7 linked regions of the Callithrix jacchus genome follow. The protein of the gene in region 1 interacts with the protein of each later gene in a pairwise test. Links are inferred from orthologs where the notes say so. Each region holds a gene or a part of one and is shown in the gene's direction. Other genes may lie near its edges. The genes, in order: UBE2K, RNF138, RNF32, SIAH1, tripartite motif-containing protein 5, DTX3 and TRAIP.

Region 1 (4,586 bases):
TGTTTGTGATATTTTTAAAATAAGATATTTTATTGGTTGGCTAGGTGAAGGCAGTACATGAAGTATAAACTTCTAAAATAACATCTTTATTACTCATTCTAAAATGTTCTATTCAAAGTGTTTCTCAGTACCATATCATTATTACTATGAGCCTTAGAAACCACTCTAAAAAAAAAAAATTATTATTATCTTTAGAGATGGAACTTCACCATGGGGCCCAGGCTGGTGTCCAACTCCTGGGCTCAAGCGATCTGCCACCATCGGCCGCCCAAAGTGCTGGGATTACAGCACTGAGCCACCGTGCCCGACCAGAAACCACTTTCAAACTGACTTTCCACTTAAAGTATTTTGCACTTTTTGTTCTGTTTTGTTTGAGACAGATCTGTCGCCCAGGCTGGAGTGCAGTGGCCCGATATCGCTCACTGCAACCTCTGTCCCCGGGGTTCAAGCGATTCTCCTGCCTCAGCCTCCAGAGTAGCTGGGATTGCAGGCGCCCGCCACCATGTCTGGCTGATTTTTGTATTTTTAGTAGAGACGGGGTTTTACCATGTTGGCCAGTCTTGGTCTCGAACTCCTGACCTCAAGCGATCCGCCGTGGCAGCCAAAACATTTTACTCTTACGTGTACTCATTTATTCATTCAATATTTATTGAGTGCCTACTAGCACCAGGCACCTTTGTAGGCCTAGGTTTACAGAAGTAAAGCTCCCCTCCCCCACCCCCAGTGCCCTGAAAAGCACTATAATTGTTTCTATTTCTCCAATTTTCACTTTTATATGAATTTTCACATGCTTTAGTTCAGACATGGGCACAAGAATGAGTGAGAGAGAGAGTGTGTCTTGGGGCCATCCTACACTCTAGGGATGGGCACAGGAGTGAGTGTGTATAGGAGTGGGAGTATGTGCTCGCGCGCGCGAGTGTGTGTGTGTGTGTGTGTGTGTATCAAGCTCTGTATTATCTAAATAGGTCAAAGATCAACATCTGGCTTCTAGATCCATCATCAGGCCTCTCCACGTAATACCTGTCTCAAACCGGATCTGATTCAACAATAACCAGCCTTAATTCAATAATCTGTGCTACCTGAGATGGTGGGAATAATCTTGGTACTATAAATGTTGCAGAACAAAAACGACTGCAGCGGATTTTCTGGGGCTACACCAACTGAAAATGGGCCGGATCGAGTTCCGGGAGAGCGTTTTCCTGCACTAGACGTTTTCCCGCACCCGGCGTTCAGCCACCGGGTTCCGGGTCTAGCTGAGTCAGGAAGGCGCTCCAGCCGATTGCGGCCTCGGGAACCGTTCGGTTGCACCCGAACCTTCGGTCAGAGTCCAGGGGTTGGCAGCCCGGACCACAGCACCCGGGTTTAAACAGAAGTGGAGGCGCCGGGGAGGACCGGCGGTCCCGGCCAGTTTGGAAGGCGCACCCTCCCGGCTCCAGACGCCGGCAGGGCGGAGTCAAGCGGCCGCAGCCCCAGTCGAGACGCGCGCTCGTGGCTCGGGCGAATGGGGGCTACAACGGGAGCGGCTGCGCCGCCCGGCCGGGTCAGCATCATGCGCATGCGCGGACCCGGCGCCATTTTGGTGGCCGGGCGCGGAGGTGATTCCACACTGAGGAGAGCGCGGTGGCCGGGGTGGTAGTGGCAGTGTTCGTGTGCTCGGGTCTGAATCGCTGAGGGAGGAGGCGGTGGAGGAAGAGGTGGCGGCGGTGGCGGTGGTCGTAGCGGTGGCGGAGGAGGCGGGTACGAATCAGCTGCGGGCGGAGACATGGCCAACATCGCGGTGCAGCGAATCAAGCGGGAGTTCAAGGAGGTGCTGAAGAGCGAGGAGGTCAGAAATGAACTCCCGGACATCCCCCACCTCTGCCCGGGCGGGAGGGTCCTCCCAGCGTGACCCCGATATCCCCGGTAGTCCCTGGGTGGCCCTCCTTGCGGCCGCCCTTCTGCCTGTGGGGAAGCAGTAGTGCTCCCCTCCTCCTTCCGCCGCCTTCCCCTCCCCTCCCACAGCGCTAGGATGGACGGTCTCGGCGGGCGGGGGGTCTGGGGTGGAACACAGTTTGGGGAACTGATGGACAGGGGGGAACTCCTCGGCGGGATGGAAGCTCACGAGAGAACCCGAGGCGGTGGCCACAGCTGGAAGTGTGGCTCTGGGGTGGGGAGGGAGCAGGCCGAGCCCGAGAAAACCCGGGAAGTGGGTTGGGGGAAGGGGAAAGGTGGTAACTGTATCCGGAGGAGCCGGTGCTGCTCTAAGGCCCACACTTTTGAGGATATTCTGGGTTATTGCCTGTCAGGCCGTCACCGTCCTTTTCTTAGGGAAGGAGCGGTGAGTCCTTAGGTATCGATTAAAAAGGAAGGACATTCAGAGTTAGTCCTTCTTAGTTGGGTGTTAGGAGTCAAGGGGAGAATAATAGAATACTGTCTTATTCGGTGGCAGGGATAAGGGAATTTTCACCTCTGTTAGCAAGTTAATTCCAAATGAGATCGTTATGTCTTTTCCACTTTACCCCCAAATTCCTAGGCCTCGTCTTTATCGACATCTCAGTCTTTGAGTGGGCAAAGGCAAGGTGTTTGGTGTATTAAAGACATTTAAATATTTTTAGTTAGAAAAAAAATGGAATGTAAGAGTAGCTTATTTCAAAATATTGTTTACAAGTTACAGATCAGAGAGACTGTCCTAATACAGTACCTCTGTGACTAGTGTTGTGCCACGAAACTTCATTATGATGTCCCTCATAGTTAACTTGATTCTTACTTTTGAAAAGTAGACCTATTAAAAACGTGTGCTTTTACCAGATTAATACACTGTTTTATCTCTTTATTGAGTAGATTTATCACGATATAGCAGATTTTCAAAAAAATTGCCTCCCGTTGCTCTTAAATCCTGCAGAATTTAGATATATTAGTACGTTTAAGTAAGATATTCACAATGCTCTAGTAATTTGACTCAGAATTACATAAGTATTAGTACAGTTTTTCATACCAAAAATCAACAAGAATACCAGATTGCCTTCCCCACAAGGATTAAACAAAAAGTAATACAGAAAATGGTTATTTTCAAGATTCACGTACCATTATTGAATATATCGTTGCTTTTGTGTTTTTTCTTTTACGGTTAGTACTTCGATAATGTCGATAGTGATTAGTGAAATTCAGCATTCTAAGTATGTGATGAGTAGACATGAAGAAAAAATTGTTTAAAATTCAAAAATGACAAATAGGCTTCTTGAAAGTAGTAGTATGTAAGTCATGATCAGTTTTACAGAGCATGTGTATGAACTCTGACCTCTGTTCATATGCCAAAACTCTGAATGGAAGGATGACTTTGTATTTTGTGGTACAGTGCAGAAACAGAGTCATAAGTGTTTGTATTGATAACAGTGAAACAGCAATTTTAACTTAATATGAAAATGTATTCCAGGATATTTGACATATATACTTCTAATGGAAGATAGCAGCTAATATTGTTGCCAACAACCTAAAACATTTCTTGTTTAATAAGGTTGTAGAAGCTTGAAACTTAATAGACTTTTAATGCTTTATTTTCTATTACTGAAAAGTGGTAAGTTACTACTCTAGTAATTTATATGGTCTCTGCTTTTTATGAGCTGACTTCACCGTGGTATTCTTAGTACTTAACTTGAAGATTACCAGAAATACTTGTATTGCTCTCTAGTAATGCATATTGTTAAAATAACACTGCTCATTATACATAAGGGATGATGGTTTACTTCAAATAAGTATCATAAGCGTTTCAGAAGAAGAAAATAGGGACGACAAACTTTTTTTTTTTTTGAGAACAGTACCTATAGAAATATGGAAAGAAACTTCTTCTAGGAAAATAAGTTGCAAAGAACATTTAGGAAAAGTTCACATCACTTAATCTTGGAATAAATATAACCAATAAATAGCTTATTTTCACCATTATTTTTTGACATTTTAGTGTCCCAGATCTATAAGTAGATTGTTATTTTCAACTCATTGAAGGACTTGTAGTACAGTCCATGTGTTTCCTTTTTAAGGGTGTAAATCCAGTCTTTTGAATGGCTGATCAAATAACTATTTCATCATGTCACTTTTTTGGTAAATCTGCACTTTACCAAAGTTTATTTCATATGCTTGTGTGCTTGTGTTTAGTAAGAACACTGGTTGATTTAAGGACTTTTTGGGGTGGCCTTTTAAGTGTCTTTGTAGAGATAGCTGACGCTTGTTGGATTGTGGTGGCCATTCTTAGAGTGTGTTAATTAAAATACAGCCAACAAGATAAATGTGAAAAGCAAGATACAGAATAGTGTGGGAGAGGCCACCATTTGTTTCAAATGGAGGGGAATATGTGTATTTGCCTGTGCAGGTAAAAGGTTTCATGAGAAATTGGAAAAATTGACTGCTTTCTGTGTAGGGGAATTGGGTCTCTGGGGCATGGGGAGTAGATATTTTTTGAATTATGTGTCATATGAACGTGATTTACTCAAAAAAGGCACCATTTGGCCTCTTTCCCTTAAGACAGTGTTTGGAAATTTGTCAGATGTTTCTTTTTAATTTATTAATATTTATTTTCTTTGTTTTAGATGTTTATTTTTAAATATGAGTATGAA
Region 2 (3,924 bases), on another chromosome or scaffold:
TTGATAATGAGGGAGAAAGAACAGAATGCAGTATTCCAATATTTAATGATCCTAGAAGCGTTTCACAGGTAAGTTATTTGAAATGAATGGAACAGGAGAAACTGAGCTGGGAGAGATTTCCCTTTCAGCTGAACATTTTGTTATATAAATATTGTTTTCGGAAGGAAAAATAGGAAGAGAAATGTTATCAATAAGAACTATAGATATTTCTAAGCTATTTTATTGAATATGCTAGGAAAAGTTGTGAAAGAATATGCTTCAAGACCAGGTACAATGGCTCACAGCTATAATTCCAGCCCTTTGGGCGGCCGAGGTTGGGGGATCACTTGACCTCAGGAGTTTGAGACCAACCTGGCCAACATGGTGAGACCCTGTCTATTTAAAAAAAAAAAAAAGAATATGCTTCAGTAACCCTTAAGGATGACCTTAAACTCTCACATACCACATAGAATGGGTTCAGTTATACTTAATAAACAAGTACAATGCCAAAGAAGTCTCTGGGAAATCTCTCTCATATTTAAGATTTTATTGGCCAGGCGTGGTGGCTCATGCCTGTAATCCAAGTACTCTGGAGGCCAAGGCGGGCGGATCACCTGAGGTCGGGAGTTCAAGATCAGCCTGACCAACATGGTGAAACCCCGTCTTTATTTATAAAAAAAAAATTTAAGATATTAAAAAAAAGATTTTATTTACTTTTATATTAGATTACCAAATTCTTACTCATTTCTGCATAATATTTGATATGTCATACTTTGGCCAGAGTTCAGTTACTAAAGTGTGTGTGTGTGTGTTTGTGTGTCTGTGATTTTAGTTATGTAAGACATTCACATTTTTTTTTGAGACGGAGTTTTGCTCTTATTGCCCAGGCTGGAGTGCAATTGCAATGGCGCAGTCTCGGCTCACTGCAACCTCTGCTTCCTGGGTTCAAGCAATTCTCCTGCCTTAGCCTCCTGAGTAGCTGGGACTACAGACATGCACCACTATGCCCAGCTAATTTTTGTATTTTTAGTAGAGACAGTGTTTCACCATGTTGACCAGGATGGTCTCGATCTCTTGACCTCGTGATCTGCCCGCCTTGGTCTCCCAAAGTGCTGGGATTATAGGCGTGAGCCACCTCGCCCGGCCTTACATTCACTTTTTAAGATGTATTTCATTTAAAATTAAGGATATGGCTGGGTATGGTGGCACACGCCTTTAATCTCAGCACTTTGGGAGGCCAAGGTGCGAGGATTGCTTGAGCCTAGGAGTTTGAGACCCAGCCTAGACAACAGCGAGACCTTGTCTCTATTTTTAAAAAATGAAACCAGGTACATTGGCTCACGCCTGGAATCCCAGCACTTTGGGAGGCTGAGCAGGCGGATCATGAGGTCAAGAGATCGAGACCGTCCTGGTCAACATAGTGAAACCCCACCTCTACTAAAAATTCAAAGATTAGCTGGGCGTGGTGGCATGCGCCTGTAGTACCAGCTACTTGGAAGGCTGAGGCAGGAGAATTGCTTGAACCTGGGAGGTGGAGGTTGAAGTGAGCCGAGATCCTGCCACTGCATTCCAGCCTGCGAGACTCTGTCTCAAAAAAATAAATTAAAAATAATGAAAAACTAATATTTAATTTTCCAGTTTACTTCATTTTTATTTTACTTATAAATGAAATAAAGCTCATAATAATTATATGATTATTGTACAGATCAAAATGAGATAATATATTGGGTATGTTGCAGGCAGCCAGTGATAACTGTCATTACAGTTAGTATTATTAAAAGCTAGATGTGCTGTTTCTGTTGAAACATTTGTGTAATAAGAGATTTAAGGAATATCCTGAAATACCACAGGTGGGATTAAAAAAACAGAGAGATTTAAGGAATAGAATGTCCTAAGATCTCTCTTACTGTGTTAATGTCATTTATTTAAAGTAATTGATTGGGAAATTATCTAGTAATGGAATTTGGCTTTTAAAAATGCTTCTCGGCTGGGCGTGGTGGCTCACGCCTGTAATCCAAGCACTTTGGAGGCCAAGGTGGGTGGATCACCTAAGGTCAGGAGTTCAAGACCAGCCTGACCAACATGGTGAAACCCCATCTTAAAAAAAAAAAAATTTCTCACATAGGTGTTTTTGGTAATGTACGTCTGTGTTATTTTAATACTCTCAATTGTATTATATTTTGTTTTTCTTATTTTTTGTTTAAAACAATCTGTTTCTTATAGACATGTCCCATTTGTGTGTCTCTTCCTTGGGGAGATCCTCGCCAGATAACTAGAAATTTTGTTAGTCATCTAAATCAAAGACATCAGTTTGATTATGGAGAATTTGTGGTAAGTGAATTCTTCAAGATTAGGAAAGTACCGTTTAACTATTCAAGTTAAGTAACTTTTTGGAATCTAACTTTGAATTTTGTGGCAAGCTATTTTGTCTTACTTGATGGATTTAGTGCAAGTTCTTTGGTTTTTAATAATATTGGTGAACTTTAGCTTGTAGAAACGGTAAAAATTGAGTTTATTTATTAACTCTCTCTCTGTACTAGAGAGAGAGTTAACAGTGGAACAGCAAGCACCTAGATTAACAAAATGATGATTTACATGAATATACTGTCTAGATTTAAGAGAAAATTGTACCTACAAGAAAAGTGAAATTGGTAGAACATATGGAGGATATATTTCTCATGTAGTGTAAGTTGCTTGTATCTATGCTAGAAATCTTAGATTTCTCACATCTAAAATGTAAGATACATCCTTTTTAAAAATGAGGAAGCTTAGTTATCAGGCAAAGCCAGGTTACAAAGGAGAATATTTAAGAGTGTAAGGGAAGTTATATAATGTAAAAATGAATTCGTAAAGCAAAATAGATTAATTTCTACTTCCAAATGTGTGTGATATAGTTTTTTAATTAGGTGAAAACTTAATTAATTCTGAAATTGCATATTATTCAACTTTAGTTTAATCAAAAACCCTATTTAAAATTAGTCCTGATAAAGAATGGCTATTTGTTTTCCAGTTTAGGTAAGCACAGTGATATGAACAAAATCTACATTTTTGTCTGCCTTCCATTGTTGGAATTACATCATTCTTGTTAAATGGTTTTAAAATTTTTTAGAATTTGCATTATTTAGCCTATTTCAAAATAATTAAAATATATGTAAAATTTAGGTGTGCTTTATTGTTTTAGCAATTTTAAGAAGTAGTTTTAGATTATTATTAAATTCTCATTGTGAGACAGATTTCTATGTCTAGACAAATGTATTTGGAAACACAAAGATTTGTAAACCACTTTTGATCTAATTGTCAAATTGTTTTTCCTTGCCATAGAGAAGTAGGTCATCAAATTATTTGAGATTGCCAAATTGAGGCCTTTAAAGCAAAACTCATGGGGCATAAAATTGATAGCAAATACAGTCTTTAAAATTAAGGATAAGTTTTATAACTTCATGTTATAGTTAACAATTTATTACTTGGCTGGATGCGATGGCTCACACCTGTAATCCCAGCATTTTGGGAGGCCGAGGCAGGCGGATCACCTGAGGTCAAGAGTTTGAGACCAGCCTGGCCAACATGGCGAAACCATGTCTCTACTAATTATACAAAAATCAGCTGGGTGTGGTGGTAGGTGCCTGTAATCCCAGCTACTCAGGAGGTGAGGCATGAGAATCACTTGAGACTGGGAGGTGGAGGTTGTGGTGAGCCAAGATTGCCCCACTGCACTTCAGCATGGGTGAGAGCCAAACACCATCACAAAAAAAAAAAGAGAATTTATTATTCAACTCATAATTCAATAAATGCATATTTTCTTAAAATCAGTTTACTGTCAGATATTTGGCATTATTTTCTAGAGATGACACATTTATGATTGTGTGTGATGATTAACTTCAGTTGTATTTTTCATTTTTTATCTTTATTTTTTGAAGAGACAGGGTCTCCCTGTGTTGCCTAGGC
Region 3 (3,924 bases), on another chromosome or scaffold:
ACGCATGCGCAACTCTTTGTGCTAGTTGATTTTAGAAGTTTCTGATGTCTCTGCATGTATATTCTTGTAAAAAAAATCATTTTTGGAACAGGTTTCATGAGGAAGGTGGTAACATCTGATTAAATTTCCTCACTTTATAAACTAAATTTGAGTAAGTCTCATAGTTCAGAGAGAAAAGAACACTATAATTAGAATACTAACGTTGGAAGTAAAAATATTGTTTATAAGTAATTACTTATAACATTTTAAGTGAGATGTTTTTCCTCAGGCATGTCTTCAGGCTTTTGAAAAGTTCACAAATAAGAAAACCTGTCCTCTCTGTAGAAAGAACCAGTATCAAACCCGAGTGATACATGACGGGGCCCGCCTGTTCAGAATAAAGTGTGCAACCAGGTGAGGATGCCAGGCCCACGTGGCGCTAAGCAGACACACAGAGATCAAGCTGTGACAACTAATTTTTTAAAATACTGGCATTGTCTCTCTCTTCTTGGCCACCATAATTTCCCCAGGGCCTTGTACAGCACAGGCTTATAACAACTACTGAAGTGTTGGTTGACATAGGATCATCATAAATTAGTCATTTTCAAATATCTGTGTTGTAGAATCCAAGCCTGCTGGAGAGGACACGTCGTTAGAAAGTGGTACCAAAACCTGAGGAAAACAGTACCTCCCACAGATGCCAAGTTAAGAAAAAAATTCTTTGAAAAAAAGGTAGGTAGAGATCATTAATTCTCCAGATACGGCCTCTGTGCGGGTGATTCACTTAGGGTCAGGACTGCTAACAGAGCTGGTAAAACTTTGAGACTTACTTCACTTTGAGGGCTTTTTAAAAATGGTCGAGATGCTGCTTAAACCCCGTTAATTTAAATCCGCTTTCCAATCTAGATGGTAAAATACCTTTAGATTTTCTTTTCATAAAGAAAACTCATAAAATTAGGTTAAATCTAAGCAACTTCCATTTGGCCATTTTGTGCCAATTGTTTAAATAAACTTATCTCTTCAGACACAAGACTGAAACCAGCTTAATTTTTCCAGTCTCCTGGGTTATACATAAATGAAGACATCTGCTGTACCTCTCACAGTAATGAAAATGGAAGCCACCTATAAAAATAAAGCCCCCATCCATATGCTACCATTGTATTGAGTACCTCGTGGGGTCATCAAAATGAGCTTTAGTGCTAACTTCCATGTCTGCCCTTCCTCCTCACCACTATTTATGTTCTGTTTCAACAGTTCCCATTCCTTGTCCCCATACAAAATGGACAGTTCTACCCATCAGCCTGTAGCTTCAGGCAAACAGCGGCATCTCCAAGGCTGCCATAGGAGAGCCATCACTTCTTCCTGGCAGTGTTGGCCTGAGAAGAGCCATGTCATTTATAACAGCCTAGCACACCATGGGTGCTGGAAATTCTGTGTTTCTTATCAGTATTAACTCATTTCCTAGAGTATGGAAGTGAGTTACTGTGTGTTTGGCCAGTTTGTTCTTCCAGAGAGCCATGTCTCATCTTCAGAGTTCGCTCATCTCGGGTGTTGATTCTCAGTTTGGTAAAGGACCACCGTGCATGATTGCTTCATCCTGCCTTTACATTCTTTCCAGTTTCTTATCTTCAGTCGCTGACAGTCAGTCTTGTTCTCTGAGCAACTCTTGGTAATTTCTAATGTTATAATATGTTGTTTCTTTGATCAGAAGTTTGTTGTCACCTCTTATAAAATTTTAATTACAGATTTGATAGTCATTTTACCTTATGTATATAAATACTTTTCATGTGCCCACATCATCTTATAATAACTTTTGAAGCGAAAGGCCCACTGAGAGTGTAGGTAGTCTCGGCCCACTGAGAACTGGCCCAGATTGCTGGAAACAAGCAAAGTGACTGTTACCATGTGCCTTGTGCTAGCTGTAGAGTAGCCAGTGAAGGGTACATTTCAGGCTCAGTGCTCAGGTGTTCAGACACCACAGCCTTCAGCTTCATGGAAAAAGGAAAAGAAAAATAAGAAAAAGCAAGTGACCAGGAGCAATCAGGGCTGGGAGACCTGATCAGGCAGGCTCCTATTTCTAATTCAGTCTGTTCTGTAGACAAGGCAGATCCATAGCTCTGTCCCACCCGACATCTGGTCCGCAGCTCTGGGGCCATCCCACCTCCCCAAAAGTCCTGTTTTAATCCCTGGTTCATCTCGTCTGCTGCCCCCTCATCCTGAGCCCTCCTCACTCTGCACACCCTCCTCTGACCCCTGCGTCTGCTCTTCTGAGCACACTCACACTCCGCCTGCACGTCCTGCTGGCGTTCCTACTGGTTCCCTCTGCCTTGCTTAAAATGTGCCGGGTTTCCAAAGCCTAGTTTAAGCTTTCTTCCAATTTCTTTGGTCTTCTCTAAACCTTTATTGTATGTTTAAACAATGCCATTCAAGAGATCAAGAAGAAGAGAAGTATGAATGATATTCTAGCTTATATATTACAAATGTAATTTTTCCTTTGTGGCTTTTGAAGATGATCTCAGAAGATTTAAATAGCAAGTTCACTTAAGTTGAATATCTATGAGGAAACTGAGAAGCAAAACTGATTTTTTATTTTTGCAGGGGTGATGGGGAGATATATGTTGAGAGCAAATTGTACACATTATTTTTAACTTTAATTTAGAGACAGGGTTTCATTATATTGCCCAGGCTGGTCTCAAATTCCTGGGCTCAAGTGAACCTCCCACATCAGCCTCCCAGTTAGCTGGGATTACAGGCAAGAGCCACAGGCTAGGGCAGTGGCTTTCAAACTTTTCCTCAGCCACAATAAGAAATATCTTCTATACTGTGTTAACAGAAAAACCAAACTCGGTGAGGTATTTTAAAGAAGTTTATTCTGAGCTGATATGAGTGACTGCAGGTCAGGAAACCCCCTCTCAGGGAGTCCTGAGAAGGTGCACCCTGGGCAGTCGGATTACAGTTTGCTTTTACACATTATAGGGAGGTGGGAGTTACTGGCAAAGACAGAAATCACTACATGGAAGTGATACATTGGTTTGGTCAGAAAAGCATGATATATGGAAGCAGGAGCTTACAGACTGTAGGTGGATTCAGAGACTTGTAGTTGGTTAAAGGAATAGAGTTCTACCTAAATACTGGAGTCAGCAGAAGGGAACGTCTAAGTTGAGGGTGCTGTGTGGCAAGACTGATGGCCTGCGGCATGACTGTCCCTTGCTGGGCATCGACTTCGCCTTGTTTATACTTTGGTTTCTTACTGCCACAGTCTGTAGTCAGCCTTATCACCTCTTAACACGAATGCTGGTCACTTGAGCTTAAACTCCAGCAAGGAGCAGGCATAATGAAGGGGCTCTCATCTGTCTTCTCATCGTGGCTGGGAATTCCATTGCTAAGGTTTTCCTAGGGCCCCTTTGGCCAAGAGGGGGCTGGTCCTGTTGCTGGGGACCTTAGGATTTTATTTTTAGCTTATAGCAATGACCCACCACTTGTATATATTTAACAGAAACAAAATTTCACAAAGCAAGATCTACTTTTACCGCCGGCACCACACTGTGATTTTTATTCCATTTCATTTTCCAAGTGCTGGGCCTACTACATCAATGTTATGAGCCACCGATGGGTGGCAGATGGCAGCATGGCCGCAAATATCAATAACTGCCACCTTAAATATAATACGAGTGACTGTGTCATCTGACCGTTCAAGTCTCCTGTGCAGGGGGCAGGGGGGACAGGAGATGTACACACACATGCACACACATTCAGATCACAGTGAGATTTGTTACATGAATAGGCATCCTACAACTGCCTTAACTTCTAATTGTTCAATTGGGAAATCCAGGCATTCCCAGCTCTCTGCTAGTTCCCTAAATCTTCTCTACAGTTCCTTCATATCTTGTTCACTCTTGCTTACTTATCCCGTTAGGCCACAAACACTTGGGATCTGTAAAGTCA
Region 4 (4,611 bases), on another chromosome or scaffold:
GAATGCTTTTGTTTTTCTGACTTAATTAAGTGGAGGGGCCTGTCCATAGATCAGTGGTTTTCAGACTGTGCTGCAAGGCTTTGTACACATCTTTTGGAGTTTGGCTAACAGTGAAATATCTTTTGCTTGAGAAATAGTCATCTTTTTGTTGTATACATTTTGGTTATTTTGTGATTCTGCTTGGAAGAGTTTCTCCATCTAAAATATTTGAAGTTTTCTGCTCTAGGGAAACTTAAGATCTGTTGAATGAATAAATGTTAGAAAATAAAAATACAGACTGGGCATAGTGGCTCACGCCTGTAGGCCAGCACTTTGGAAGGCATGACAGGTGGATAGTGTCAGGCCAGGAGTTTGAGACCAGCCTGGGCAACATGGGGAATCCCTGTCTTTACCAAAAATATAAAGAAAATTAGCCGAAGACGGTGGTGCCTAGTGATTGGGGAGATTCAGGTGGGAGGGGATTGCTTGAGCCCAAAAGACCGAGGCTGCAGTGAGTGGAGATTGTGCCACTGCACTCAGACCTGGGCAAGAGTGAGACCCTGTCTCAAAAACAACAACAACAAAACAAAAAACTTGTCTGTGGGGTAGACTGTATTTATTTTCAATCATATTTCTTTTCCTAATACTCTTTTGTGTAGCCTATATTGTAAAATGAGGTTGAGGTGATTGAACACACTGTTAATAGAGTGAGGAAGTGGTTAGAGTTAAAATTTCTTGCTGAAAGTGGGTAATCTGCAATTCCCTACATTGGGTTGATTCCTCTCTGCCAGCTCTTGCTGCATTTAGAGGCTGCCCTAAGCATGATGTAATGACAGGTTAAACCTCTGCACGCACTAGCTGATGCAATGCAAATCTGAGGCCCAGGACTTTATTGGGGCAAGGGTAATGCTTGTTTAAAAACAAAACAAGCTACTCTGCGTTTAATGAGGCCATTTAAGATGGCTTTCCCAGAGTGGGAAGAGAGTATACTCTCTTAGGAGGTTTAAGTAGGAGTTTAATGTGGCAGAAGTATGCTTACTACTTTTCCTGCAAAGTGTTTTCGCAGCGGGGAAGGGGAATTTAAAATACATTACCGATAGGAGAAGTGAAGTGAGCTAGAATTGAGGAAATTAGTAGTTGATGCCAGTAAATAGCTGTTGAATGAATTAGGGAGAATGTTTTCACTCCAAAATTTTAGAGTTCGGATAAACGTAGAGCGGAGCGCCAGTGTGGCCACGCATTTCAAGATACGCTGTAGCTCTTAGATTGAAACCGTAAGAAACTCCTGATATGAGACTGTTCTGACACACCGAAAACGGCATGGTTCCACCTAACTTTAAACTGGTGGAAATGCTGAGGAAGGCTCGATGTCGCTGGGGTGCGGTGGTATGCGGTCCATGGCGGGGTGGGGTCCATGGCGGGGTGGCACGGGGTCAGAGCTGCGGGGTCCCGCGGCCCCGCCCTGGGTTGTGGGGCGGGGCTTGCGGGCACGGCCCCACCTCTGCGCGAGCGAGACGGGCACCGCCCTGCACGCTGCGCGCCCTGGACTGGCCCTTGGCTCTCCTGGTTGGAGCGGGCGTTCCCGGCGCAGGCCCATCCCCAGCTGGCCGAGGCTCCAAATGGCTCTCCCGGCAGGCGGGCTCCTGCAGTAGCCCCTGAGCTGGCTCAGGGAGCGTACTTCCTTCTCAGCCAGCGGGTCACCCCTCCACCAGAGCCGAGCAGGAGCCTACCCAGTGAATCTGGAGAAGACAAACTTGGGAGACAGACGAAGGCTTAGGGCATGGTGGAGGACAGCGCAGCTGTGGCTCCCATTTTCGGAGATGCAGCCGAATTTGAGCTCACGGGGAGGTGTGGTTGCCTCCTGGGGATGGAAAGGCTTTCTTTCTCCACCTCTGTAACTGGTGCTTCTGAGAAGTGAAACGATATTTGGATCCTGACCTCAGACGCCAATTTGGGTCTTTTGTGTTTAGGAGCAGAAAGTGCCCAGGAGGGTCCTGTACCTTTACTTCTTGGAAAAGGCAGTGAGCTGCCTGAGTTCTCATGACGGGAAAGCCTATTCCACCTTCTCTTTACTCCTGGAGGGGAGTCTTGTTCACATGTTTACCGGCGACTAGGACAAGGAAGAGAAAAGGTATTGACATTAACAGGATGGGTTGCTGAGGCTGTGAAACTTGAACGCTGTTAGTCAGTGGAACCTGCCTGGCTTACGGAATGGCTGCAGCAGAATCGAGCTGTTTCCTAGGTTAGCAGTCATGTTTCATTTGGGCTGTTGTGCTTTTTTTCTGTTTAAATCAAACTTCAGGTTACGTCATGACTTCTGCAGGGCTGTCCTTGGTTCCTACTGCAGGGCGGCTGTGTGGTTGGGATTCCTTTTCTGTTTCAAGATGGAGCTGGGTAGCACCTTTGGAGCTTGGAGAGGCTTTAGCAGTTGCTGTCCTGTATACCTCCATTTACAAGAAATCCTGTTCCCATTTCGGTTTTCACACTTTGAGTAAGAGTTAAAATCTGCTTTATTACAGTGTTTGGAAAATGATAAAGATATATTGTAATGTGAGCCTGAACTGTTGATGATAAATGTATAACTACTGCTAGGTCAAGAAATTGAAAAATAATGTTTTGATTGGTCTGTAGCTGTGTTGTGTTAAATATAAACTGAGTTTACTGCCCTTGGATGTGATTCTCTGGTTTGGTTTGGTAATTTGAAAGGTATTGGTTGCCTAGACTGTTTTGTGCCCAAGGAAACACTTTCTAATTGTTATGCTGTTAATTCAGTAAGCAGCATAAACTGGACCATGCAGTAGGCATACAGCATACAGCCAGGATGTTTTGGCAATGCTGAGCCCACTGTTTTACAAGTGACATAAAATGTATGGATCATCGTATGTACAAAGAATCCACTCAGGGAAACCGGATTACAGGAGAGTTCCTTTACAGTCCTTTTGTCAGGGTACAGAACACCTGGGTTACACAGGGCTTCAGATGAGAGTTGATTCATGATCTGAGTCTATATGATGAGACACATTATGATGGAATTGTCACTTTTGTTGCCTCTTGAACTTTAAAATATATCTTTAGTGATGTGGAATTAATCTTTATTTTTCCTTCACCCTCAGCCTTCATTTAAGGTATCAGTTGGTAACCACCTGAGTAATCTAGAACCCAAGTTGCATTTACTTGGTCATATTGGTAACTAACATTGTTTCTCAAAAGTTTCTTGCAACAGAATAATGACTATAATTGAGATAAAACATTAACTTTAAGGCTTTAACTTTGTAAGAATATGGCTTAGTATAGTTACTAGGAGTGTATTCTTAGGACATCGACCGATCTATTTTTTCACCCCCAAGACAAATAGTGGCCTCCTATATCCCAGCCCAGGGAGCTCTTTGGGATGAGTTACTTGTTTTATCTTTGACTCAGCCTGACTAGTTACATTGTCGATCATTTCTTCCAGATGACATTTATCTGTCAAATAATGTTGATTAGTCTGCTGATGAATGTTTAAACAACGCTGGAGAACCCTAGGCTAAGGGGTTCTACACCTGTTGACTCCATCCCCCACTCCCAGTGTGGTGTGTCTCTGCCGTGCTATCTGTATTCTTCCCCTGTTCAGTTTCTCCCTGACTCTCCTTCTTTGTTCATTATGTCTGATTTATATTGTGGATTGCAAATAGAGAAAGATATGCTTTCTCTACGACACCAAAAAGTTTTATTTGAGATGGCTCTCCATTTCTCCCACGTCTCCCTTCACTTTTGCTGTGTTTTTATTTATTTTTATATTTTTGCTACCTTCACTAGAGAGTACATCCCCTCACTCTTGAGGTGGGCACTGATCAGTAGGAAAGAAGATCAATACCTGGCTGATGATAATTTGGGGGGCAGATTGATAGATAAAGGGGATGGCAGCAGATCTTTCCCCTTGTGATCCCTCCCCTCATTCCTAAATTACACCTCTAGAGTAGGTAACTGCTCACCATTAAGAAGAGTTAATGGAAGGCATTTGAACTACACTCATCCCGTGGTATCCTCGGAAGATTAGTTCCAGGATCCCCTTCCCCATACCAAAACCTGAGGATGTTCAAGTCTCTGATAGAACATGTTATCATATTTGTATATAACCTGTGCATATTCTCCTGTATAATTTATCTCTGGATTACTTACACTTAATACAATGTAAATAATAGGTAAATAGTTGTTATATATGTTTTATTTTAAAAATTTTGTATTATTTTAAAATTTTTCTGAATATTTTCAATCCATGGCTGGTAAATAGTTATATATGTTTTATTTTAAAAATTTTGTATTATTTTAAAATTTTTCTGAATGTTTTCAATCCATGGCTGGTGAAGTCCTCAGATGCAGATTCTGTGGTTACAGAGTGCCGATTTTACACAGGATCTTACCTGTAACTCCTTGTGCCTATCAACAGCTGACTCAGAATTGGAATGAAATAGAGTAAGGGAATCTCAGAGGAGAGAGTACTATCAAAATGGATTCGATTAAACTTCAGTTCGTTATATAGTTTCTCTAGTTTATGGTCCATTTTCTATTTAAGATGATATTTACTTTTTTTTTTTCTTAAAGGGAGTTCCAAATGTGTTCTGGAACATTTTGAAAATAGAGCTGATCCAC
Region 5 (4,353 bases), on another chromosome or scaffold:
GAACCAACCCAAATGCCCATCGATGATAGACTGGATTGGGAAAATGTGGCACATATACACTATGGAATATTATGCAGCAATCAAAAATGATGAGTTTGTTTCCTTTGTAGGGACATGGATGAATCTGGAGAACATGATTCTCAGCAAACTGACACAAGAACAGAAAATGAAATACTGCATATTCTCACTCATAGGTGGGTGATGAAAAATGAGAACACATGGACACAGGGAAGGGAGTACCAAACACTGGGGTCTATTGGGGGGAAGAGGGGAGGGACAGCGGGGGGGTGGGGAGCTGGGGAGGGATAGCCTGGGGAGAAATGTCAAATGTGGGTGAGGGGAGGAAGGCAGCAAAACACACTGCCATGTGTGTACCTATGCAAATGTCTTGCATGTTCTGCACATGTACCCCAAAACCTAAAATGCAATTAAAAAAATAACAGGGGGTGGGGGGGCAGGTGCGGTGGCTCACGCCTATAATCCCAGCACTTTGGGAGGCTGGCAGGCAGATCAGGAGGTCAAGAGTTTGAGACCATCCTGACCAACATGGTAAAACCCCGTCTCTACTAAAAATACAAAAGTTAGCCAGGTGTGGTGGTGGGTGTTTGTAATCCCAGCTACTCAGGAGGCTGAGGCAGGAGAATGGCTTGAACCCGAGAGGCAGAGGTTGCAGTAAGCAGAGATTGTGCCATTGCACTCCAGCCTGGGTGACAGAGTGAGACTCCATCTCAAAACAAACAACAAACAAACAAAACAAACGGGGAAGTTGGAGAGTTCTTTGAAAAGTTAGTGGTTGAACTGCAGTCAGCGTAATAATGTGGTATTTCTTCATGGCTCTCCAGATAAATTTCTAGCATTCTGTCCCCTCTCTGGGTTTGGGGGCCTTCATAATATGACATCTGTCTTATCTGTAGCTCCTTTTCTGTTCATAGGTCCTATGAGGTTTTTACGTCCAGACCAGAAACCTACTGCAATTCTCTAAAAATCATTAACCTTGCTCTTCCTTCTCTTTGTGGCATATCTATCACCCAGAAGCAGAACCCAGACGTGAGATCAGGAACAAGAGGAGCACATTGGAAGAATTTCAGTAAAGGGCACATTTTCTAATTTTTAATATTTGGTTGGGTTAATCTGAGACTATGTCAAAAAGAAGTGGAGTGATAATAAGATCCTGAGACTCAAGAGAAAAGGGACATAGAGTGGGGATGCCTCTATTTTCCATGGCTCCTCCTGTGAATGGCACAACTACACAGCAGGCTGACTCATTCAGAGGGTGGGATTCACCAGGCATTACGTGGCGAAATGCCATTGGCCCAATATTTTGTCTTTCACTTTTCTGCCCAGGATGTGAGCAAGAATTTCCTGCAGCTCCTCTTAGAAAGACTACTTTGAGCAGATCAGGCCCCTGGATTGGTGAGTGAATCCTAACCATATCTTTCTTCCCTGGCCTGCCTTCACTCTTCTCCCCGGAATCACCACTTCTGTACTGGTGTCTGAAGGTGTATTGAGTGGTTTGTGGAGGGCAAAAGTAGGAAGTCTTTCAGACAAAACTGAATTTGCTTTGGTGAGTTTAACTTACCTAAAAGCTGTTCTGGGGTGGGGAAAAGACAGTTCACAGACTTTCTGCTGCCAGGGTTGACTAATGGGAACAGTGCTGCGGGCAGCTTTGAAAGAAGGGAGAGCTTTAAAGTGAAAGACTTTGTTTCCTGGAAGGCTGGTTATTTTTCCGGGCTGACTCTCTATTAAGTAATCCTGTTTACTTCCATTATGAATGTTTCAGGGGCCCTCTGAACCATCCAAAAAGCCAGGCATTAGAAAAGACAATTTTGAAGCTTGAAGTTTGATTTTGGTACATCTGTTAAATGTTACAGGTTTAAAACACTTGATGTTATAAAATTGATATAAATTAATTTTTTTCCAAATGACTCAAAAGGCAAAAGCCTTTCATTAACCTACACTATGACATGATAATCCTGTTTAAAGCCAAATTTTACCCTTGCATTGATTTATTAAAGTTAGCCCCAATTTGTTTAAATGAAATCCTATAGTTCGTTTCATCTAATCTTAACCAATTTGAGCATGAGGTGAAATCTTTACAAACCTTTTATAACCCTTTTACTAACAGGCAAATTAGTCTCTTCAGAACTCCCTGCTGTGCTTTTATTTCGGTCCTCAATTTATGAAAAGACCATATAATGCTATTTTGAGTTTAGTTAATGCTTACGCATTTTTTTGCAAGATTATTTTTTACAATCTTTCTATAACTTGCTTAAATTTCTAGCTCTATCTTATCAAATTTGACATCCCTCATCCCAGGGCAAAATTTACATTTCTATGCTTTCTTCCAATCTTTCACTAAAAAATATATTTTACTGTTTTTATATGCCTTGCACATAAAACTGTTTAGTGATCTCAAATACATGTTGCACTGTTAACTTTTAGCAACTTTTATTTTTCGTTAAGAAACCTGGTTTGTAAGCAATTTTAATTAGGTACCAGATGTGGTTCCTAGGACCCAGACGGAAGCACAGATAAAGTCTGACTTTTCAGCATCTAGCTCCATGTGTCCTAGGACTATTTATAAAGCCGGCAGTACATAACCTTGGAACATTTAGCAAACCTAGTATCTAAGTTGTATGATTTAGACCACCTGTTTGCATTTTGACAGCACTTGCATTTTACCAATAATCCTTAAGACAATTTTTATTTCTTAAAATTACATGAACCAAACAAAATTTGATGTATGTGCTTAATTTTCCTTAAGCCAATTAATTAGAGCTCTTTTTATAGACATTGTAAACAACACATATATAGGAATACAGACAGAAGATTCAGCACTTGTATGATTTTTTTATTTGCCAGTTTTTTAATTGGATTACTGGCTTTAGGATAGAGCCCTTGGAGGACTAGGACCAGGTAGCATGCATATTTAGGGCCTAAAAAGCAGGCACAGCTGAAGGCAAAGTCAGGTCCCTAAAATTAAGAGTGCCACATTATACTGGATTTTGGGTCCCGAAAGGAGGCAGATACTATGGGAGAAGACGGTGTTCTGCTTTTACTGTGTGTTTCATTACAAGGCAACACAAAGCCAATTGGCTTATTTTGTAATTAGCCCACCCCACTATGGGAGTCTTATTTCTTAGTGGGGGGTGGGGATGTTTCCATATTTTTTAGGTGGCCGAGAGTATGCTTCTCCGACTTATAACTACTGTTAGACATCCCTTGCAGTGTATTTCCTACCTAGTTGTTGCACACCAAGGCTCTCTCATAATGTGAAGTAATTTGATACCCCCAAAACTTAAAATGGTAGATAACACAATGCCTAACAGAACACAGCCTTTGATTTTGAGAGCCTATCTGCTGTTAAATTTGGGGGGGTTCATGAGGAAGACAGAGATTTTTTTTTTCCCAAAACGGTGTCTGTGGTGCCGTCTCTGTTTTTTCCCAAGCAGTCCCATGCTACCAGGAGTTATTTTAGGGCCTCTCATGCATGCATTAAGCATGGTAAGACCAAAAAAAAGGAGAAAAATAATTCAGTCAACTGACAAGAAGAAGAACCTTTTTCCAGAAAAACAAGATCCAAGAAGAGAAAAAGGCCTTTTAAATATACCTATAATTCAGGAGAAAAATAATTCAGTCAACTGAGAAGAAAAAGAACCTTTTTCCAGAAAAACAAGATCCAAGAAGAGAAAAAGGCCTTTTAAATATACCTATAATTCAGGAGAAAAATAATTCAGTCAACTGAGAAGAAAAAGAAACTTTTTCCAGAAAAACAAGATCCAAGAAGAGAAAAAGGCCTTTTAAATATACCTGTAACTTGAATATCCACTTATAATTAGGCTGAGAGCTCTTTAAGAAAATCCTTTTAAATCTCTTGTTACTTGACTTCAGCCATGCCAAGCAGTTAAGATTTTTGGCTTTTGAACGTTGTAGAAAATAACCTCACAGGTGAAAGCAACAAACCTTAGTTAGGTTGTGAATGAACCACAGATGAACAAGGTATTTTCAAAGGAGTGATGGACAGCTTTTGAAACTGTCATTGCAAAATTGTGACTGAGACAGTGGAAGAGATCCAATCCAAACAACTCCATTTTCTTTCCAGCCCTCAAGCTGTCCTTGCCCATCCCTTGAGTATAGGCTGAACCAACTTTGGGAGAAGCCTGGTTTACAGTTTATACTCTAAAACAGATATGATAACAGCCCCTTCTTAAGATATACTTCCTTCTTGCCTGGGGACCAGACCAAGAAACTAGCCATGAGATTAGACACCATGGCTTATGAGTCATGCAGCTGGAGGCTACAAGATTTCGACCCTTCCTGATCTGCTCTCAAGATCATTGCTAAAGATATTTT
Region 6 (4,375 bases), on another chromosome or scaffold:
ACTTTTTTTTTTTAAATTTTTTTATTAACATTTCACTTCTCTGAGGAAGCCTGTGCTTAAGGGTGCAGAAACCAGCTGAAGAATTTTGGTGTTCAAGGTGTTGAGCCCCTAACTAAGGATGTGGGTTTCTAGACAGATGGCTGTGAACTTTTTTGAAAAGGCTGTGAAGTGTGTGCACGGAAATGGAAAGCTTAGTTTTTAGCCTTGTGGCAGGTCAGCGGTAGTGAGGGCCAGGGAAGAGTAGGGTGATGGGACCCTTCCTCTTCGCAGAGTTCTGGGCTTGGCTAACACTCCATTTTGGCAAAGGTGAGTGGGCCTCTCAGCCCACCTGCTAAAAGAAAAGGAATTCAGTACTCCACCCCCCACCGACTTCCTGGGAAAGCTGTCCTCTTCCTGGAGGGAAGGAAGAGTACAGCTGCAGCAGGGTCCTGGGAAAGTGAAGAAAGTGACCAGCCCTCCAGTCTAGAGGGGGAATGAAAAAGGGGTGGATGAATAGAGGTTGTTGCCAGTTTGGGAGATTCCTGTCTTGGCTGAGAAAGTCTTTTGGCTGGTGGAAAAACCTGGCTTGATGTGGCTGGCCTCAGGGAAGTGAGTTGGATTGGGGGCGGAGACTGCTTGAAGTGGGAAGCAGAGCAGAGCTTTTTTTCTTTGAGAGTTTTTAACTCTATTTGAACCATACACTTGACACAACCACCACCCCAAGCCACTTTTTAAAAAATGTATTCACTTCCCATTCTGCACCAGCCTCCATATCCGTTTGTGGAAAGAGAAAATCGGAGGCACTTACCAATGACCATCTGAGAGCACGTTGTGGGGGTCACAGGAGGTAACAATCTAGAAAGAGGCAGGAGATGAGGGAGGGGATTGAAATAGTTTAGTACCGGGATTTGTTTATTTTTTAGAACCAATGCTTTTCTTTTTACTATGACTCTCCCCAACCCACATTGTTCCTCAAAGGCCCTTCTACCACAAGGATTCAAAAAATTGCCGCCCTCCCCCCTCCGAATCCCCATATACCCACCAACACTTCACCCACCCATCCACCACCAGCTCCCGGGAGCTGCTACGCAGCTGGCTGGGAAAGAAAAGGGAGAGTGCTCTGCTGGGAGGCGGGAGCGAGAAGGGTGGCGTCTCCAGGGATTTAACCTCCTACCCTCAGTTCCGTGACGCCACCCCCTCCCTCCAAAGAGTGGGACAGCTCCTCCATTTTTGTTCTGGGGAGGAAGAGCAGGGGCTTGCGGATAGAAGGGGGTCAAAGGGAACGGTGATTATCACCTGTGAGGGGAAAGGGGGTGCTGTCCTCCCTCCTTCCCTTTCCATCAGCCTGCACCCCCTGCAACCCCCCACCTTCTCGGGGTCTCCCCCCCCTTGTTGCTAAGGCCCGGACCGTCATCCCAGCAACAGCCTCAGTCATGTGACCGGCAATGGCGGCGCTGACGAGAGGTAGGTGAGCCCGGCGCCCCCCACACCCACCGCGCGCCCCCCAGGCCCCGCTAGCACCCCTCACACGCCCCCCGCTCCCCCGGCACCCCCTCTTCCCCCACCCCTCCCCGTACGCGGCTCTGGGCCCCCAGCTCCGGGCCCGGGCGATCATCTTTCTAGCACCCTCCAGCCTTGGCCTCTATTCGGGGATTCTGAGAGCTGCGATCGGGCCGACCTGCACCCCCACCCGGGGGTGGGGATCCGGGGGCTTCGGCGAGTGAGAGATGTGGGGAGTTGGTTCCGGGTCGGGTGTTGGAGGAGGCCTTGGGGGGAGGGCTGGAGCGGCCTCAGTGGATGCCCCCAGGGACCCTTGCCCTTCCCGGCTGTCCCTCCCTCCGGCCTGGGTCTGGAGGGAGACTGGTCCCTTGTCCGGCCTGGGTTGCCACGGAGGAATCACAGACCCACCCTAAACTGTGGCCCCGCCTCCCTTTTCTATGCCAGCAGGACTTGGAGCTAGGACACCTAGGTCCTGGGTCCCCTGTGATGAGACGGGAGGTGTTGCATCGCGGGTAGACTGTATGGGCTGAAGATCTAGTGTTCCATTTTCACTTTATGAATCTCAAGGTGCCTCTGGCCTTTGGGGATGATGATAGAAACATGAAGGGACAGCTGCTCCTTTTTTGGATCAGTCAATAAATGGAGGTCACACTTATGGCCCCTCTTTCTGTTTGAGCTGCATTGGGAGGTGTTGTGGGGACAGCACTGTAGCCCAATGCGACCAGACTCTGGGGAAACATCAGGCCTCTCCAGCTGAGCCCTTGTGTGAGCCCCGCCCCTCCCTAAATACCAGACTAGGGAGCTGACAGACAGCCCTGCCTGTGCTGGGTTTAAAAGGTGACAATGAGAACTTTGTTATTGTGGGGGCTGCTGCCACTTCGTTCACCTCTTTAACAGACTTCAGCGGAAGGGACTGAGTTAGCTCTCAAGGAAGGCTCCCTGGCAATAGGGGCTGAATTATTTGGGAATATGGAGCAGCGCAAGGAATTGGGAACACAGGAAATACTCCAGTTCATGTGATCTGAGGGAGGCGTCAGGAAGACCTCCACCTGTGTGGGCTTTTTCTTTCCTGGCTTCTCTTATGTGTGCCCTAGGCTTTCTTGGGGGCCTCAGAGCTGGGGAAGAAAGGAGGAAGGTTAGCATGTTGAAGTTCCTTCTTGAGCAACCTGGGGAGAAGCTGAGGATGGAATTCTGCAGAGGATAGAGGAAATGGAAGGGGAGTTTTTATTTCTGGGTTGGCTGAGGGAAATGGTAACATTTGCCATCATAACTTTTTACCCTTCCCCCACTCCCAGGCCTGGTCAGCTGAGTGGAAATAGAAGGATTTCTGCTGCCATCATCTTCCATGGGCTTTCCAGGTACCTCCCCAACAAGGGATCCTCAATGTTCACCCTGAAACTGGTTTCCTTCATTCCGTGTTCCAAGTAATCCCATTCCCAGTAACCTATGCCCAGGTTTCTGTCTCTGTTCCATGGGCTGCTAGGTTGGGGGCCAGGGGATTTGGGAGAAGGGGTTTCTCACTTTCCTTCCTTTTTTCCGCCCTGCCAGGTCACACGACCTACAAGTAGGGAGCAGGGAAAAAAGAGTGAGCCTGCATGCCAATTCTAAGCTCTTCGGGATCAAAGTAAGCAAAAAGGAGGGGCAAAAAATCTCCCTCCCCTTTAAAGAGCCCATTTTTCCCTCAGAGGTGGGAGGGGCAAATTGTCTCTACGATCTGGGAGAAATGACAGGAGAAACAAGACTGATGCTTGGTTTAGATGATAATACAGTTCTGGAAACTTGCTTGGTCTTCAGTGGGCTTTGGAAGATAAAGGGAGATAGAATATGAATTTGGGGGAAGGGTTGGGGATTAGGCTTTGAGAAACAGGTAATAGGGGGTTTGGAAAGAATCTGAAGTAGGAGGCACTGATACTTGTCAAATGGGGACCCCCCACCCTGAGTCCCTTTCACCCTGGGGGCAGTGTCGTTCGTCCTGTCCAGAATGGCAGCCTGTGGAGGCACCTGCAAGAACAAAGTGACTGTCTCCAAGCCTGTGTGGGACTTCCTGAGCAAGGAGACCCCAGCCCGGCTGGCCCGGCTTCGGGAGGAGCACCGTGTGTCCATCCTTATAGATGGCGAGACTTCTGACATCTATGTTCTCCAGCTTTCCCCACAGGGCCCTCCCCCGGCCCCTCCCAATGGGCTCTACCTAGCCCGGAAGGCTCTCAAGGGGCTGCTAAAAGAGGCAGAGAAAGAGCTGAAGAAAGCTCAGAGGCAGGGGGAGCTGATGGGCTGCCTGGCTCTGGGGGGTGGAGGGGAGCACCCTGAGATGCACCGCCCAGGCCCACCCCCTCTCCGAGCAGCCCCACTTCTGCCCCCAGGGGCTCGGGGGCTCCCCCCTCCTCCTCCCCCACTGCCCCCACCTCTTCCTCCTCGCCTTCGGGAGGAGGCAGAAGAGCAGGAGAGCACCTGCCCCATCTGTCTGGGGGAGATCCAGAACGCCAAGACATTGGAGAAGTGCCGGCATTCATTCTGCGAGGGCTGCATCACCCGGGCTCTGCAGGTGAAAAAAGCCTGCCCCATGTGTGGCCGCTTCTATGGGCAGCTGGTGGGCAACCAGCCCCAGAATGGGCGGATGCTGGTCTCTAAGGACGCCACCCTCCTACTGCCCAGCTACGAGAAGTACGGCACCATCGTCATCCAGTACGTCTTCCCGCCCGGTGTCCAAGGGGTAAGAAGACCATGTCCTGCCCTTATCCTTTGGCTTCCCCAGCCTCTGACCTAGGAAAACTGGGTGAGGGTATGTGCTTGTTAGAAGTGAGACAGTCTTGTTGTCTTCCTCTGTGCCCTCCTACTCGGTGCCCTGGAGCTAGGAGGTCCTGGTGAGGCCCAGCTTTTCCATCCCTGTGATCCTAAG
Region 7 (3,924 bases), on another chromosome or scaffold:
GAAGAAGCCAGGGGACTATGGGTAGTGGTGCAGCAGCCATGGCCTGGTATCTGTTCTTAGGCAGCCCCTGCGTGCCCCTCCTTACCCACCACTTCCATTCCCAGCTGTTCAGCCTATACTAACCAGCCCAGCCACCAGAAGCTCCTGCCTCCAGAGTCCTGGGTGGAGAGTTTGATAGCAGGGACTTGTTTACCCACTGGGTCTAGGCCATACTCTTGGTCACATGTGAAATTCTGAGTCTTCTGTTGACCTTAGATGGGTGATCTAGATTAAGGTTTGCCTGGATTCCATCTAGCTACCACCATGTACCCTTGGTCAAACGTTTCAGTTCTATATAACCTTGGTTTTCCTTGTTATGGAGCATGCACTTCACTTGCTCATGGAGATGTTGAGTTCTCTGGCCTCCTGAATAGGAACTGGGTTCAGTTCTGCCATAGCTTCTCAGTGATTCTGTGGCATGGCTCTGCAACATTTGCAAGGGCTTTGAGAGGCTCACTTGATCCTCACAACAGTCTAGTTAGAGGCTAGTTAGACACATGGGAAGTTTCATCCAGGGGTACAAAGTTGTCCTGGCACACCTACCTCTATTGGATCCTGGGGCTGGAAGGTCTGTAGTCCGCAGAGCCAGTTTGGAGTTTGGAGGAAAGTAGACTATGAATCAGGAAGACCCAGAGTGGACATTCCTATTGTGTGTCACTGGTGAGGCAGCTGATGCCCAGAGGGAACAAGACTAGCACAGAGCAATGAGGCCAAGGAAGCAATAGAAGTGCTATGGAAACTGATCACAGGGGCCCAACCTTACTTCCCTTCCACTATTCTACGTTTTCCCTGTCCTGGGGCCTTGCTCCTGAGATTATTTTCCTCCATTTTACCTACTTTTCAAAAGGGCACATAGAGCTAAAGCAGTGCTTATCTCTCCATTGTTAGCTTAACTTGGCCTTGAGGTACAGCAGGATTCATGCCTAGAAGGTCTCGTTGTTAAATCCTAGAGCTCCCAACAGCCTTATAGGAGGCTACCTGGAGGTCAGCTGTGATGCTTTCCTGTTGCTTATTGTGGGTATTGCCTTGCAGAATGAACTGGATAATATCAGAGCCCAGCTTTCCCAGAAAGGTAAGTTAGCAAGAGACAAGGAGTGCTGGGAAGTCCCTGACTTGGATGCTGGAGAGAGGGGGCCCTAGGAGGAAGGTCTCAAACAATTTGGCAGAGCCAGGGCCTTTCCCTGCTTTGTATGTCCAAGAGTCCTGCTAGCTCTTGTGGCTGGCAGGAAAGGGAGGTGACTGAAGCTGTTCACCTAGACCAGGTGAGCCTCTTGTCTCTGAGTGCAGCTTCTTGCCTAGGAACCAAGATGGGAGAGGTCTACCTAATGGGACAGAATATCTTTGGGAGAGGGCTCAGCTGCTGAGTTTGGCTGCTTGAATCCTAGCATGATAAACTAACTAGACCTGTGGTGGGTGAGGTGTGGGCAGTAAAATATTTTCCTAAGTAGTTCAAGCAGCAGAAAGTGGACTTTTCCCTGAATGAAGGCTCTGGCTTAGCTTCTCTGGTTTGGCACATCCCATAGAAAGAAGTGTGCCACCCAGCTTTCTGGCCTGAGCCTTGTTTCTCACCTTCCTAAGGGATGAGGCACTGAAGCCCAAGGGCCCAAGTTCTCATGCTGATGAATGGACAGGACTTTCCCTTTCCCCCACCCTCTACCCCTGCTCCAGAGAAGGAGAAACGGGACACCCAGCTCATTGTCGACTCTCTGCGGGACATGCTGGAAGAACGCAATGCTACTGTGGAATCTCTGCAGCAGGCCTTGGACAAGGCTGAGATGCTGTGCTCCACACTGAAAGTAGGTCCTCAGGTTTTATGGGTACAGAATTAGTGGGAAGAAAGATTGCCCCAGAACTGGGCTCCCCATTCTAGACTTATCTTCTAGTTCTGCTACAGTCAATACCTTGGTTTGGGCAGTTGTAAAATAGAAGCAAATCACTTCTTCCTCTTGCCCTCCCATATTGTACCCATCCATCCCATAAGAAAAGGGCCATATTGGCTGTACTTGTGGATTTTGTATTAGGTAGTTTGGAGAGGCAAGGCCCTCCCAGTACCTCACAGGGGGGATGTTCAACTAAGACCTCAGTGAGGCTGCTCCATGTTTCCAAAAGTGGTTCATACTCTACTGATGAGGCCAGCTTGAAGAAGCTTCCATTAGCACTCCAGTCCTTGGCTGGGCTGCTCTCCTGAGCCAGATCAAACAGCATCCTAGGGAGGAGCAAGGGCCTTTGAAGTCAGCTGTGCCGAGCTAACCGGGCAGATCAAAGCCTGCAGAGTGAACAGCTCTAGACCCAGATGAATTTTGCATCAGCCTGGGTTGGTGAGCTTCTTGCTCTCCAAGGGGCATGAGAAGCGATTGATCTGAACCCATGATTGATATTCTGGCCTTGTAGGCAGGAGCAGTCCTTGCTGGATGCCATTTGAAAGGGAAAGGGAGCCATCCTTGTGAACAGACAAGGCCCCAGGATATTCATTGTCTGTGTTCCTGCTTAGGGGCTGGGCTGGATCACATGGTCTGGCTTGTGGGAGGGAGAAACTAGCACCTGGCTGCAGAGCAGGAGTCTCTAATGGTATTCTCAGGTCAGAGACAAAGTGGTCTTAGACTGAAGGCAGCCTGGCCAGCTTCCCCTGCCTTAGTTCTCCATTCCTGCCAACCATCCATGGGTCTGGGTGATAGTGAGGCCTGGGTTTGTTCTCTGGACTTCAGCCACCTGCACAACATACACCATGAGGCCCAGACCACTGGACCTTGGCAGCCCACAGCAAGCCTGTAAATGCTGGCAATGGGCTGTGCCTACTGTAAGACACCTTTCAGGGGAAGCAGGCAGGGAGATGAGGAAGCAGCTGGCTTAGAGCCTTTTAGCAGAAGAAGCACAAGCAAGAGTGGGGCCCAAGAGCTTTACCTCCTGGGGTTTGGGAGCACATGGTTATCAGCATTTTCAAAACATAAGGTGTAGAAAGTTCTGGAGCAGAGTTTCCTAGTGACTTTAGCAATGGCTCCTGAGGGCCTCCAAGCAACGGATATGGGTGTATTTGCTCTTCAGAAGCAGATGAAGTACTTGGAGCAGCAACAGGATGAGACCAAACAAGCTCGAGAGGAGGCCCGCCAACTCAGGAGCAAGATGAAGACCATGGAACAGTAAGTTTGGAGCTGGGTCTTGCGCCATGCCTTTGACCCCAGGACCTGCAAGTGGTACAGTTCTTAGGACTGTAGCAGGGAGTGCAATTATGTCATGTCTGAGGTTCAAATCTGCATAGGCCATGGAGGGCTCAGGTCAGCTGGGTGTGGGCACAGATCTTAGCCTATATGAACTTGCACTTTCCATGGGGGCTCTTGCCACATTTCTCCCTGTCTGTTGCTGGTGGCCAGATGACGTGGTGGGATCTTTCCCTTTAGGAACCTCTCTCCAGGAAATCCCTGACCTTGAGACCCTCTGTCAGCACCTGTTCTTTCTCAGCAGCATCCTTGGAACTATGCTCATCTCTGCTGTGGAGCCTTTCCTTGGGCACACCCACCTGCTAAAGCATCCTAGCAGCCTAGGCTGTTACCTTAGCAACAGCAGCAAAGGAAAGCAGAGCTGCATTGGGTATGTACCCATCAGCCTCCAGATTGCAAATGCCGTGGGCTGGGTGTGTTTTTCAGGATCGAGCTTCTACTCCAGAGCCAGCGCCCTGAGGTGGAGGAGATGATCCGAGACATGGGTGTGGGACAGTCAGCGGTGGAACAGCTGGCTGTGTACTGTGTGTCTCTTAAGAAGTATGTACTGTGGCCCCTCTCAGCAAGCCCAGGAGATAGGCCATGGGCCCCAGCCATGTCACTGCTCCCATCTCTTGTAAAGCAGTTGGAGCTAAGGGGAAAACTCTAGAGCCATGCTGCCTTTGTTTGA

The links.
Region 2: the proteins of UBE2K (region 1) and RNF138 interact in binary tests that used the Homo sapiens proteins (3 or more experiments, as listed by UniProt). The link is inferred for Callithrix jacchus from reciprocal best matches to the Homo sapiens genes UBE2K and RNF138.
Region 3: the proteins of UBE2K (region 1) and RNF32 interact in binary tests that used the Homo sapiens proteins (3 or more experiments, as listed by UniProt). The link is inferred for Callithrix jacchus from reciprocal best matches to the Homo sapiens genes UBE2K and RNF32.
Region 4: the proteins of UBE2K (region 1) and SIAH1 interact in binary tests that used the Homo sapiens proteins (3 or more experiments, as listed by UniProt). The link is inferred for Callithrix jacchus from reciprocal best matches to the Homo sapiens genes UBE2K and SIAH1.
Region 5: the proteins of UBE2K (region 1) and tripartite motif-containing protein 5 interact in binary tests that used the Homo sapiens proteins (3 or more experiments, as listed by UniProt). The link is inferred for Callithrix jacchus from reciprocal best matches to the Homo sapiens genes UBE2K and TRIM5.
Region 6: the proteins of UBE2K (region 1) and DTX3 interact in binary tests that used the Homo sapiens proteins (3 or more experiments, as listed by UniProt). The link is inferred for Callithrix jacchus from reciprocal best matches to the Homo sapiens genes UBE2K and DTX3.
Region 7: the proteins of UBE2K (region 1) and TRAIP interact in binary tests that used the Homo sapiens proteins (3 or more experiments, as listed by UniProt). The link is inferred for Callithrix jacchus from reciprocal best matches to the Homo sapiens genes UBE2K and TRAIP.

The regions. Positions count from the first base shown.
Region 1 is NC_133504.1:154,118,471-154,123,056, reverse strand, and holds the start of UBE2K (ubiquitin-conjugating enzyme E2 K), read left to right. Parts: upstream 1-1,573; 5' UTR 1,574-1,762; coding exon 1,763-1,825; intron 1,826-4,586. UniProt on the Homo sapiens protein: Accepts ubiquitin from the E1 complex and catalyzes its covalent attachment to other proteins. In vitro, in the presence or in the absence of BRCA1-BARD1 E3 ubiquitin-protein ligase complex, catalyzes the synthesis of 'Lys-48'-linked polyubiquitin chains.
Region 2 is NC_133514.1:75,214,705-75,218,628, forward strand, and holds part of RNF138 (E3 ubiquitin-protein ligase RNF138), read left to right. Parts: intron 1-2,202; coding exon 2,203-2,310; intron 2,311-3,924. UniProt on the Homo sapiens protein: E3 ubiquitin-protein ligase involved in DNA damage response by promoting DNA resection and homologous recombination.
Region 3 is NC_133512.1:91,574,042-91,577,965, reverse strand, and holds part of RNF32 (RING finger protein 32), read left to right. Parts: exon of another isoform or gene 1-268; coding exon 269-393; exon of another isoform or gene 394-602; coding exon 603-711; exon of another isoform or gene 712-1,233; coding exon of another isoform or gene 1,234-1,323; exon of another isoform or gene 1,324-3,924. UniProt on the Homo sapiens protein: May play a role in sperm formation.
Region 4 is NC_133521.1:6,077,340-6,081,950, reverse strand, and holds the start of SIAH1 (E3 ubiquitin-protein ligase SIAH1), read left to right. Parts: upstream 1-1,557; 5' UTR 1,558-2,019; coding exon of another isoform or gene 2,020-2,110; 5' UTR 2,111-2,190; coding exon of another isoform or gene 2,191-2,221; 5' UTR 2,222-2,289; coding exon 2,290-2,470; intron 2,471-4,611. UniProt on the Homo sapiens protein: E3 ubiquitin-protein ligase that mediates ubiquitination and subsequent proteasomal degradation of target proteins.
Region 5 is NC_133511.1:71,270,657-71,275,009, reverse strand, and holds the start of tripartite motif-containing protein 5, read left to right. Parts: upstream 1-1,376; 5' UTR 1,377-1,564; intron 1,565-4,353.
Region 6 is NC_133510.1:62,091,410-62,095,784, reverse strand, and holds the start of DTX3 (putative E3 ubiquitin-protein ligase DTX3), read left to right. Parts: upstream 1-1,416; 5' UTR 1,417-1,443; intron 1,444-2,339; exon of another isoform or gene 2,340-2,614; intron 2,615-2,774; 5' UTR 2,775-2,837; intron 2,838-3,027; 5' UTR 3,028-3,074; coding exon 3,075-3,103; intron 3,104-3,440; coding exon of another isoform or gene 3,441-3,459; coding exon 3,460-4,189; intron 4,190-4,375. UniProt on the Homo sapiens protein: Regulator of Notch signaling, a signaling pathway involved in cell-cell communications that regulates a broad spectrum of cell-fate determinations.
Region 7 is NC_133516.1:32,451,954-32,455,877, reverse strand, and holds part of TRAIP (E3 ubiquitin-protein ligase TRAIP), read left to right. Parts: intron 1-1,071; coding exon 1,072-1,111; intron 1,112-1,707; coding exon 1,708-1,835; intron 1,836-3,081; coding exon 3,082-3,176; intron 3,177-3,680; coding exon 3,681-3,794; intron 3,795-3,924. UniProt on the Homo sapiens protein: E3 ubiquitin ligase required to protect genome stability in response to replication stress.